Linked DNA regions of Neodiprion lecontei. The protein of the gene in region 1 interacts with the protein of each later gene in a pairwise test. Links are inferred from orthologs where the notes say so. Each region holds a gene or a part of one and is shown on either strand. Other genes may lie near its edges.

Region 1 (4,548 bases):
TTAAATTTACTGACGCACGAGGCGACGCGTGACGAAAACCAAACTAGACGTTTGTTACTTTCTCAAGTGAACAAAGTCTTGAAATTATAACAATGATTATATTTGTCGTTAATACTTTGTTTGATAACCTATATTGCACAAGCTGTATCTGTACCGAATGTTTATCAGTTCGTTTTATTTATTTATCTATCTTTTTTCTTCATTCGTCGTCGTCTTTCGTTCAAGTCTTATTCACCGTACGATCAGCTTATACGCTGATTAGTTTAGTTGCCCAAACCTCACCGAATTTGCTGATTATCTATAAGACATGCCTTATAATCTTAGACCGGTTGTGATTTATTTTGGTTTCCAATCAAACTCTAAAATACCTTAAATGTTCATCGTTTATCGCACCAAGTTCAGAGAAACAAAAGTGTTTTATAATTTTTCAACATAGAATATAAAACGTAGATTAATAATGGGAATAATAACAAACTCCATGGTCATACACAAGTTATTTATTCAACCATGGTTCATTCTCATGATTACATGAGGAAATTCTGTCTGATTCGCAGTTGGAAAATTCAATTCATCGTTAATCTAATGTAAAATAATTCTAACCGCGTTAAAATAATGTTATCGAAGTGTGCAGCCGTCAAAAAAAAAAAAAAGAGCAAGGGCTTTTTATCGTACGATCTCCTCAATCATGCAACAACGTTTTGAACACCGTGTGCGACATATAACCGATTCGTTGAATTTATTCATTTTCACTCAGCTTTTTTATCCAGCTCCGCGTGATCCGCATTCAGCGATGAATCTTACTTTCAGAGTGATGTTAATTCGACGGCACACGTTTCAATGGCGGTTATACACTTGGAAAGGTTGTGCTCGGCCAGGTGGAAATTCCTTAATGCATGTACGTCGCGGGCTATTAGAGCGTAGATACGCCTGGGCCTTTGTCTCTTTTTGATACGTCCCGACGTTTACGTGTCGTGTATGTAAAATTTTTCATTCGATACTTTTTTTTTTTTTTTTGTGTAAAACTTCGGTGCAGGTATACGAAGAACACGCTGTGTTCGACAAAATCTAATCATTTTAAAACATATCTTATCCCTCAAGTGAGCAGCCCGTTATCGTATAAAATAATTCATGCAGCAGACGAAAGCTTTTTGCGAGAATCTCAGAGTTATTCGAGAAAGAATAATATCTCAATTTTCTACGTCTGTATAACAAATTGTACACAGCATTCGGGAGGGAGAAAACGATGAAAAAAAAAAAGAAACAAGTAAAACTTGAAGCTGAAGGAAATTTTACTTTTGCTTCTTCTTATACTTTATTCATTGGACCACCCGCCGAGATAATGGGATGCATATTTTATATGCAATTTATTCCAGGGATCTTGGATTCGGCGGCAAATTGCGCAACAATTTGATTTGCTGGCGCATGCGTTGGATCGATAATCGACCGGTAAAAGCGGAACCCGACATTCTCCACTTTTGACTCAATCTATGTCACTTCGCTAGTCAATGCCAATCTCTTCGGTCCACCCAGTGTTGCCAAAACTAAAGAAATTTATTTAAATCTAAAGAAATTAGAGTCCGTTCAAACGGTTCAGAGAAAAAAGAAAAGTTGTTTTCTTATTATAAACTATTGTCGCTTAGGCCAGATTCTGAGGAAAATCCGAAGATTTCTGGCGTAATCTCGAGACTGAAAGAAGCGAAATATCTAAATATGACTAAACATCGACAAATTGTGAGGTTCCCAAGAAAATATGCACAAATCAGATAGCGTCTACAATTTTCAAACGCACTTATTTGACATGTTAACGGTCCTAAATATTAAAAATAAAAACATATTATTTACATGAAAGTCCCGAATATCTTTATACTTACAATTCAGATTGTAGCATATAAATTTTTGAGTTGCCTCGCTCGTTAATTATTATTATATATTTATAGGAAAATTGTCCGTCTTGAAAATGAGAAACATGACGGATTATTGTGACGTTATTAAGACATCTGAAGAATTATTGTAGTGCCATTTAAAATAAGAAATCTGAAGAATTATTTTGGCGCCTTTTAAAGAAATATTCGTCCGATAGGTTGGCAACTCTGGATCTACCAAGTTCTTTTCCGATTTCGGGTAGTCTATGCTTGATTTACCGAATTGTAAATTATTCACGTGGGTCAGTGTGATTTTGAGTGAGCGCAGATTGTGTCGCCGTTAGTTGTAAATTCGTCGATGCGAAGACAAGCAGCTCAAAGCTGAGGGTAGCCAATCATGGGTATACTCGAAAAAATATCAGAAATCGAGAAAGAGATCGCTCGGACGCAAAAAAATAAGGGTTTGTTTCGGATTTGAGGTTATGTGTCTGCCAGCCGCAACGCCGTGACCGGCTCGGAGTCTGGGGATTTTGCATTTTTTCTAATTTTCTCAACCGTCGTTTAAAGGTCGATATTTGTTTTTACAGCGACGGAGTATCATCTCGGCCTATTGAAGGCAAAGTTAGCCAAGTATCGCTCCCAGTTATTAGAGCCGTCAAAGAAATCCGAAAAGGGGGAAGGGTTCGATGTACTGAAATCAGGAGATGCGCGGGTCGCCCTGATCGGTTTTCCCTCTGTGGGTAAATCCACTTTACTCAGCACCCTTACTCACACCGAATCCGAAGCTGCGTCCTACGAATTCACAACGCTTACGTGCATACCAGGTGTAATCGAATACAAGGGAGCAAACATACAACTTTTAGATTTGCCCGGTATCATCGAAGGTGCCGCTCAGGTATTGCCTAGAAAAATAAACACCGGCGATGTTTTCGCGTACATCGAGTTTTCTAATTCTTGGTAATTTTCCCAGGGAAAAGGAAGAGGGAGGCAAGTCATAGCCGTCGCAAGAACGGCAGATTTGGTATTGATGATGTTAGATGCGACGAAACAAGATGTACAACGACAATTATTAGAGAAAGAATTGGAGTCTGTTGGTATTAGACTGAACAAACAGAAACCCAATATATATTTTAAAATAAAGAAGGGTGGGGGGCTCTCGTTCAACTCTACTTGCCCACTGACTAAAGTTGACGAGAAGTTGGTCCAAATGATCTTACATGAGTATAAAATATTCAACGCTGAGGTATTGTTTCGCGAAGACTGCACTGCCGATGAGCTCATCGATGTTATCAATGCAAACAGAGTGTACCTACCCTGCCTGTACGTATACAATAAGATTGATCAAATATCTATAGAAGAAGTTGATAGAATCGCGAGGCAAAGCAACAGCGTCGTAGTTAGGTGAGTCAAGCATAGGATACTATCAGTTTTTGGAAAGCGTTCACGCGCAATTCCACCAACAAAACTTCTAAGCTAAAATACTCTTACGACAGTTGCAACATGAAATTGAATTTGGACTATTTGCTGGAGGTTCTGTGGGAATATTTGTCACTCATCAGGGTTTACACTAAAAAACCTGGTCAACCACCAGACTTTGATGATGGATTGATTTTACGGAAGGGAGTCACGGTCGAACATGTCTGTCACAGCATTCACCGGACTCTCGCTGAACAATTCAAATATGCTCTTGTTTGGGTAAGATTACCGGATGTAAAGTATGTTTAAAAATGACGAGATATTTACCACCTCTAAACTTCGATGAACATTCTCTTTGCAGGGCACGAGCACAAAATACTCACCCCAAAGGGTAGGATTGCAACATGTGATGCATGACGAAGATGTGATACAAGTGCTCAAAAAATAAATCAATGCAAATACTTTGGTTTGACTAATATACCATAGTATAATATACTAATGATGATGGTGAACGATATTATCAGCTTCGCAAAGCCTAATGTATATTTTATATATTCTAAAAATAAGCAATCCACAAAATGGATGAAATAACGTCACTTTTTGGGGTATAAATATCCAAGCTATAAAAAATTATGCGACACATTATTTCAATGTCAATTCTTTCTTCCTCAAGTATCCACGAATTTAGTTGACTTATTACATCGTTTTTAATAAAATTGTACTGTTAATGGATTGATAAGAAACATTCTCGTCTTTTAACGTTGTTCGAATGAAAATACTTGCTTCATTATTTGGAAAAAAAAATGGCATCCCCACACCCATTATGCCAGTCTCCGTATTATTTATGAACTTATCCGACCATGGCGAACCTTTTTTTGTCCACTGCAGGTCTTGTCGTTTGTCCTTTGCACCAAAGTTACCGACCCCAATCAAATTTCTTCAGATCTAATGTATTTTGATGTCCGCCAAAGCAAAAAGAAAAAGAATTCTTTTCAAGAATTGTGGTAATTTATATCGAAATCTAAAGAAACTTTATCACTTTTAAAGAATTTTTCTTCCTGATTCCAAATTCCTACATTTTTAATTTCCTATTCCAATTTTTTCTAATTGTTTGGAATTTGTTGTAATATCGGTATTTAACTTAAGAAAACAAGGCGGGTGAGTCGATATATAACTGAATAAAACTCGAGATATGCTTCGGTGATTTGGAGTTTCAATTTGAGTCACTTCGGGTTCATCTGTGCTATTTTTCCAAATTTTCGCTCATAGT
Region 2 (4,857 bases), on another chromosome or scaffold:
AACAATTTTTGCTCGTACCTTTCAAGTGCTAGTTAAAATACACTCGTAGTTTTACTCATTTCTATCTCTCCCTGTCAAAAAAAAAACGCCGACAATCATCTTTTTAGGTCTGTATATCAGTACACTGCGTTAAATACTGTCTTATATACGGAGCATCCATTTCATCTTGACCACAATTAGCGCTTTCGTCATGTATTATAGTTACTCTGAATTTTTTTCCTTACTTACTTCTCGAAAACAATTCTGCTTCTATACCCAACGTAATACTTCACTTGCAACTAGCTCAAACAGCGTTTCGATTCTATGCCTACGAAAATTCAAGATCGAGAGAGCAAATGAACAGTTGTTGGAATAATCACGAATATCAATGTCATGGAATACATCGAGCGCGTGTCGAATAGAATTCTATTTCAAAATGAATAATTGTTCTATTTTCATATTACAGCCATATTATTGTAGATCATCTAGTTAGTCTCCTGGAAAATTATAAAATTTATAGCATGCATCACGTATTAATCGTAAATGGATCAATGATTAATATCGTACATGGACCGCATATACATATGTACTTTTGGTTCTTTACATTATTATGATATCTGATCCATTATTATTCATAATCTTCGTATACACTGTTCTCTCGGGTACTTATACTTTAATTAAATCACTGTTTTGCTACGAATTTTGTCAGAAATTTATTCTCATTATTAATTTCTTGTATCGCCGACAAGTCGGTAAGTACACACGGGTTAAGTATAGGTGAATGCAGCCAGTATCGCGTCGAAATCGGTAACTCTCTGATGTTCTGCAATAAGTTCTCAACTCTACCGTTGGAACATTTCAAGAGCGCAAATGCACGACGATTTTCGTTTGTTACCTCATAATTTTAAAAGTGCTCAGCAAAGCAAAAAAATTAAATAAAATATTCATTTATTTATTTATTTATTTATTTATTCCCAAGAAAATATAAATATACATAATATACAGAAGTAATATACAAAAGTACATTTATAGTCCTATAGAAGTAACTTAAAGTTTCCTGTGCATAGGCTCGGGAAGAGTGAAAAGGCATATAATCTAACAATGCCAGTTCAACAATTTTAAATTTGATTTTAAAATTAAGAAAAATCATACAGTTTGTACATTTAATTGTGATTAAAATTAAATGATTTAATTTAAATTTTACAAATAAAGTGAAAGACGGATATATTCTACTAAAGCGTTGATAGATGCTCAGGGTGGCCGATTAACCATTTTTTCAATTTATATGTAATTGACTTGGTCAATATAGGTAAATTCTTTATTTCGTTTGGTAACAGATTGAAAAATTTAATTGCAGTATGTAAAGGACTGCTGCAGAACTTAGTTTTAGTGACTTTGGGTCCTTGTATTAACTTATATCTACAAAAACATTTTTGAAACAATTGGAACTAAATACGACGTACTTTAAAATTTTTCCGAAATATTTGTAGCTGAATGTTGACGTTGTAAAAATCTGAAAAAATAAATTCAGCGTCCTAGAGATGCTAAATATATTGGAAAAGTGAATAAATTTTAATGAATAATCAAACGATAGTTAGTTGTAAAAATGATGTAAATCAATTATTTACAATGATTGCGTGCTGCAAAATGAATGAGACATATTATATTATATGAAATACAAAAAGGAATCTGTGTTGCAATGAGAAATGTAGTCTTTCCGTAATGTGAAATAAACCGTGGAAAAATATTTACTAGCAGCGCCCGCTGGTGGACACTGTAATTTTTATGCTTCAAATTTCCCTTACGGTTTTCTTACTCCAACAGCTCCACTCTCCAGTGCTCTAATAGCCGTGATAATATCCCATCTATTATCCCCTATCTTCTGTATCGTCCGGTAATTGTCACTATGGGTTTAGGTTAAAATCTGGTTTTCATATAAAAAATATTTACGCTCTGGCTGATTTGTGAGAGGGAGACAACGGGATTAAAAAATGGATTATAGAGACGAGCAGGTTAATGAAATTGAGGCGCTCGATTCCATATACTGTGGGGATATGGAAAGTAAGTTCATACCTCGACGTTAAAAACATAACCTATACTCGTCACTTTTTGCGGCATTATTAACATAACCTATTATTTATTGAATCACAGAATAATCACTGTACGCACGATAATTAGCAGACACAAAATAACAAACAATGGATATGTACTTAGATTTATCAAATTAATATAGCTTCAAGTTTGTCGTATACAAGGGCTCCTGGAACGGCATGTAAACACGAAATTTTTTTCGCATACACTGACAAATAAATTTATGGCACACTATTTATATCTTATCTATAAAATTTAATGATGATGAAGTTAAATTTCCAACTCTGCCGGCTGTAATATTGATTAAACAGTTATTTATCAATGCGCTTTGACGATGTGAGAATTTGTGAAATAATTGAAACTCATTCATTATTTTTTTTTAATCACTTCATATGTATAATGTTGAAGATTTTCAATTAGAGAAATATATTCTGTAATAGTAAACGTTTCATATTAAATAATTTGAATTATTTATTCTCACTCGTACGATTTCACCGGAGCCATGCCGGAGCTGCACAAGTTTTCTGATCGACTCTCGCGTGACTGTTGTAACTCGACTGAAATTACTGTACGGTGTCGTGACATTTGGTATGAATAACATTTGAAATGTGAAGTAAAACATGCTTTTGGTTTGGTTTCAGTTATAGCAAAGCAGCCCTTCTACAAATTTTCAATCCCAATTAAATCTGAAGAACATGAACTAGAGACAAGCAATGGTTTAGCTTGTCGACTAGAATTTACTTACACAGCTAAATATCCTGATGAGCCACTAGTCGTAGATATTGAGGATCAAGAAAACTTTGAGGATGGTGACGAACAGATACTCAAAGAACACTTAGCGGATCAAATGAATGAAAATTTAGGCATGGTTATGGTTTTCACCCTCGTTAGTGCTGCGCAAGAATGGCTCAATGTTCAGTGGGACAAAATAAAAATGCATAGGGAAGAAAGTGCTGCCTTGAAACTGAAAGAGGAAGAAGAGGCAGAAAGAGTAAAAACAATAATTTATTATATATTAGTATCATACATTTTAAATCTAAGTTGTTTCACCATGCTGCACTTCTGTTGTTCCGATTTCTACAATTGCATATCAACAGCGCTGGTCAACTTTAATGTTTTTAAAATTGCAGAAAAGATTTGAGGGAACAAGAGTTACTGTCGAGACGTTTCTAACCTGGAAAGAGAAGTTCGATGATGAAATGGGAATTACAAAACGACGTGAAATTGCGGAGCGTGAAGGGAAAAAGTTGACTGGAAGAGAGCTCTTTATGACAGATAAAACATTAGATCAATCTGATTTGAAGTTCTTGGAAGACGGTATGTATTTTCAGTCCTCATTCACTAATTTTCAAATTATCTGCTATCGCGAACTTGAAGTATTCATAATATGAGCTTCGTCATATTTATATTTGTCGATCCGATCGACCTCCATAGTTTATTTTTCTTTTAAAGGAGATGCAGTCAAGGTGGATGAAAGTCTGTTTCAAAACTTGGAAGATCTTGATTTGGACGATGATCCGGATGATCTGGATTTTGACCCAAATAATTTGTCTGATGACAGTGCCTAACAATGTTGATGGTAGCGAGTGAGCTATTCTGACTGACTGACAGAGGCTCCTGGAGTCATCAGCAACGAGGAATTTAAACTCGTAATGAACGAATGCAAGAAGCATGGACCACCAAATGCATTCATATGCCTAATACCGTTGAAGTGTTTTGTAACAATTGTAAATAGCTGGATATTTTATGTTAACAAAGCTTAGTTTACCGGTACTTGAGATACTTTGTATTGTACTCTTATTTCACCTATTTATCATAATAGTTTGAAGTAAGAACGTAATAACAATGTAGCAATCTCGTAAAATTCATATATGCTTTGTTACCCAGAAAAAAACCGTCCTAGAGTTCAAATCTGTTATTGAACAAGAGCTTCATCGACAGATCGTGTTAGACTGATCAAATTAAAGTTTTCAGAATTTTTTTAACATCAGATACGTGTGTGAATTTCGTTTCATTTAAATAAACGTTCCCGTTTTCTCTCCCACAGTGTATCGGAATCCAACTTGTGGGTGTGCAGGGTAATTGACCCATAACAGTAAGAAAATTTGATGAGTATCAAACCACAAACAACTCCGTGTCATCTATTGAACTTTTATTTTGTAACATTGGATCGGTAGGGAGCAAATATAAGTAATAAAAAAATATTTATATAAATAAATACGATAATGTCCAGCATTTTATTTTTTTTTTTTCCTTGCGACAGATTAACAGTGAAAAAATCGGAATTTCTCCCTGGTAATTTTTTCTTCTCATCCAATGGAAGCTTAATACTTCATACATGGATATATTACATATTCGAAAGAATTTAATGAGGTCGCAACGAAACGGAAGGCCTAGCGTTTAGAAATGCCGCAGGTTTGTTGACAGTTGGCTTTATATCGAGGTAGCGGCACTCGCCGTATCAGAAGTGATAATAGTTCGCATTTTGTTCGCCAGACGGCCGAAAGCCGTTCCGACAATCAATACAGGCGCAACTCCGTAGAATCACCGGAGAGCTTGCTTTACAGCGAGCTTTCAGTTTGACACTCGGCCGCGTGTAAAGCTCACGAACTTTGCGAAATATCAGTGAAAAGTGTCGAGCGAGGCGGAGGCGATACGCGGCGGCAAAATGGCGGCCACAGTGCGAAACAAATGACAGCGCGGATTTTGTGAGCTTGCAAGCTTTAACAAGGACCCGCGAAATTGCCCGATTGTTAAATTTCTACGAGAATATTTAGTAGTTTCGAA

What was found.
Region 2: the proteins of developmentally-regulated GTP-binding protein 2 (region 1) and RWD domain-containing protein 1 interact in binary tests that used the Homo sapiens proteins (3 or more experiments, as listed by UniProt). The link is inferred for Neodiprion lecontei from reciprocal best matches to the Homo sapiens genes DRG2 and RWDD1.

Annotation. Positions count from the first base shown.
Region 1 is NC_060263.1:2,933,480-2,938,027, reverse strand, and holds developmentally-regulated GTP-binding protein 2, read left to right. Parts: upstream 1-2,128; 5' UTR 2,129-2,259; coding exon 2,260-2,323; intron 2,324-2,449; coding exon 2,450-2,757; intron 2,758-2,832; coding exon 2,833-3,263; intron 3,264-3,355; coding exon 3,356-3,557; intron 3,558-3,639; coding exon 3,640-3,726; 3' UTR 3,727-3,923; downstream 3,924-4,548. UniProt on the Homo sapiens protein: Catalyzes the conversion of GTP to GDP through hydrolysis of the gamma-phosphate bond in GTP. When hydroxylated at C-3 of 'Lys-21' by JMJD7, may bind to RNA and play a role in translation.
Region 2 is NC_060262.1:25,214,093-25,218,949, reverse strand, and holds RWD domain-containing protein 1, read left to right. Parts: upstream 1-1,827; 5' UTR 1,828-1,970; coding exon 1,971-2,040; intron 2,041-2,711; coding exon 2,712-3,061; intron 3,062-3,200; coding exon 3,201-3,387; intron 3,388-3,522; coding exon 3,523-3,638; 3' UTR 3,639-4,302; downstream 4,303-4,857. UniProt on the Homo sapiens protein: Protects DRG2 from proteolytic degradation.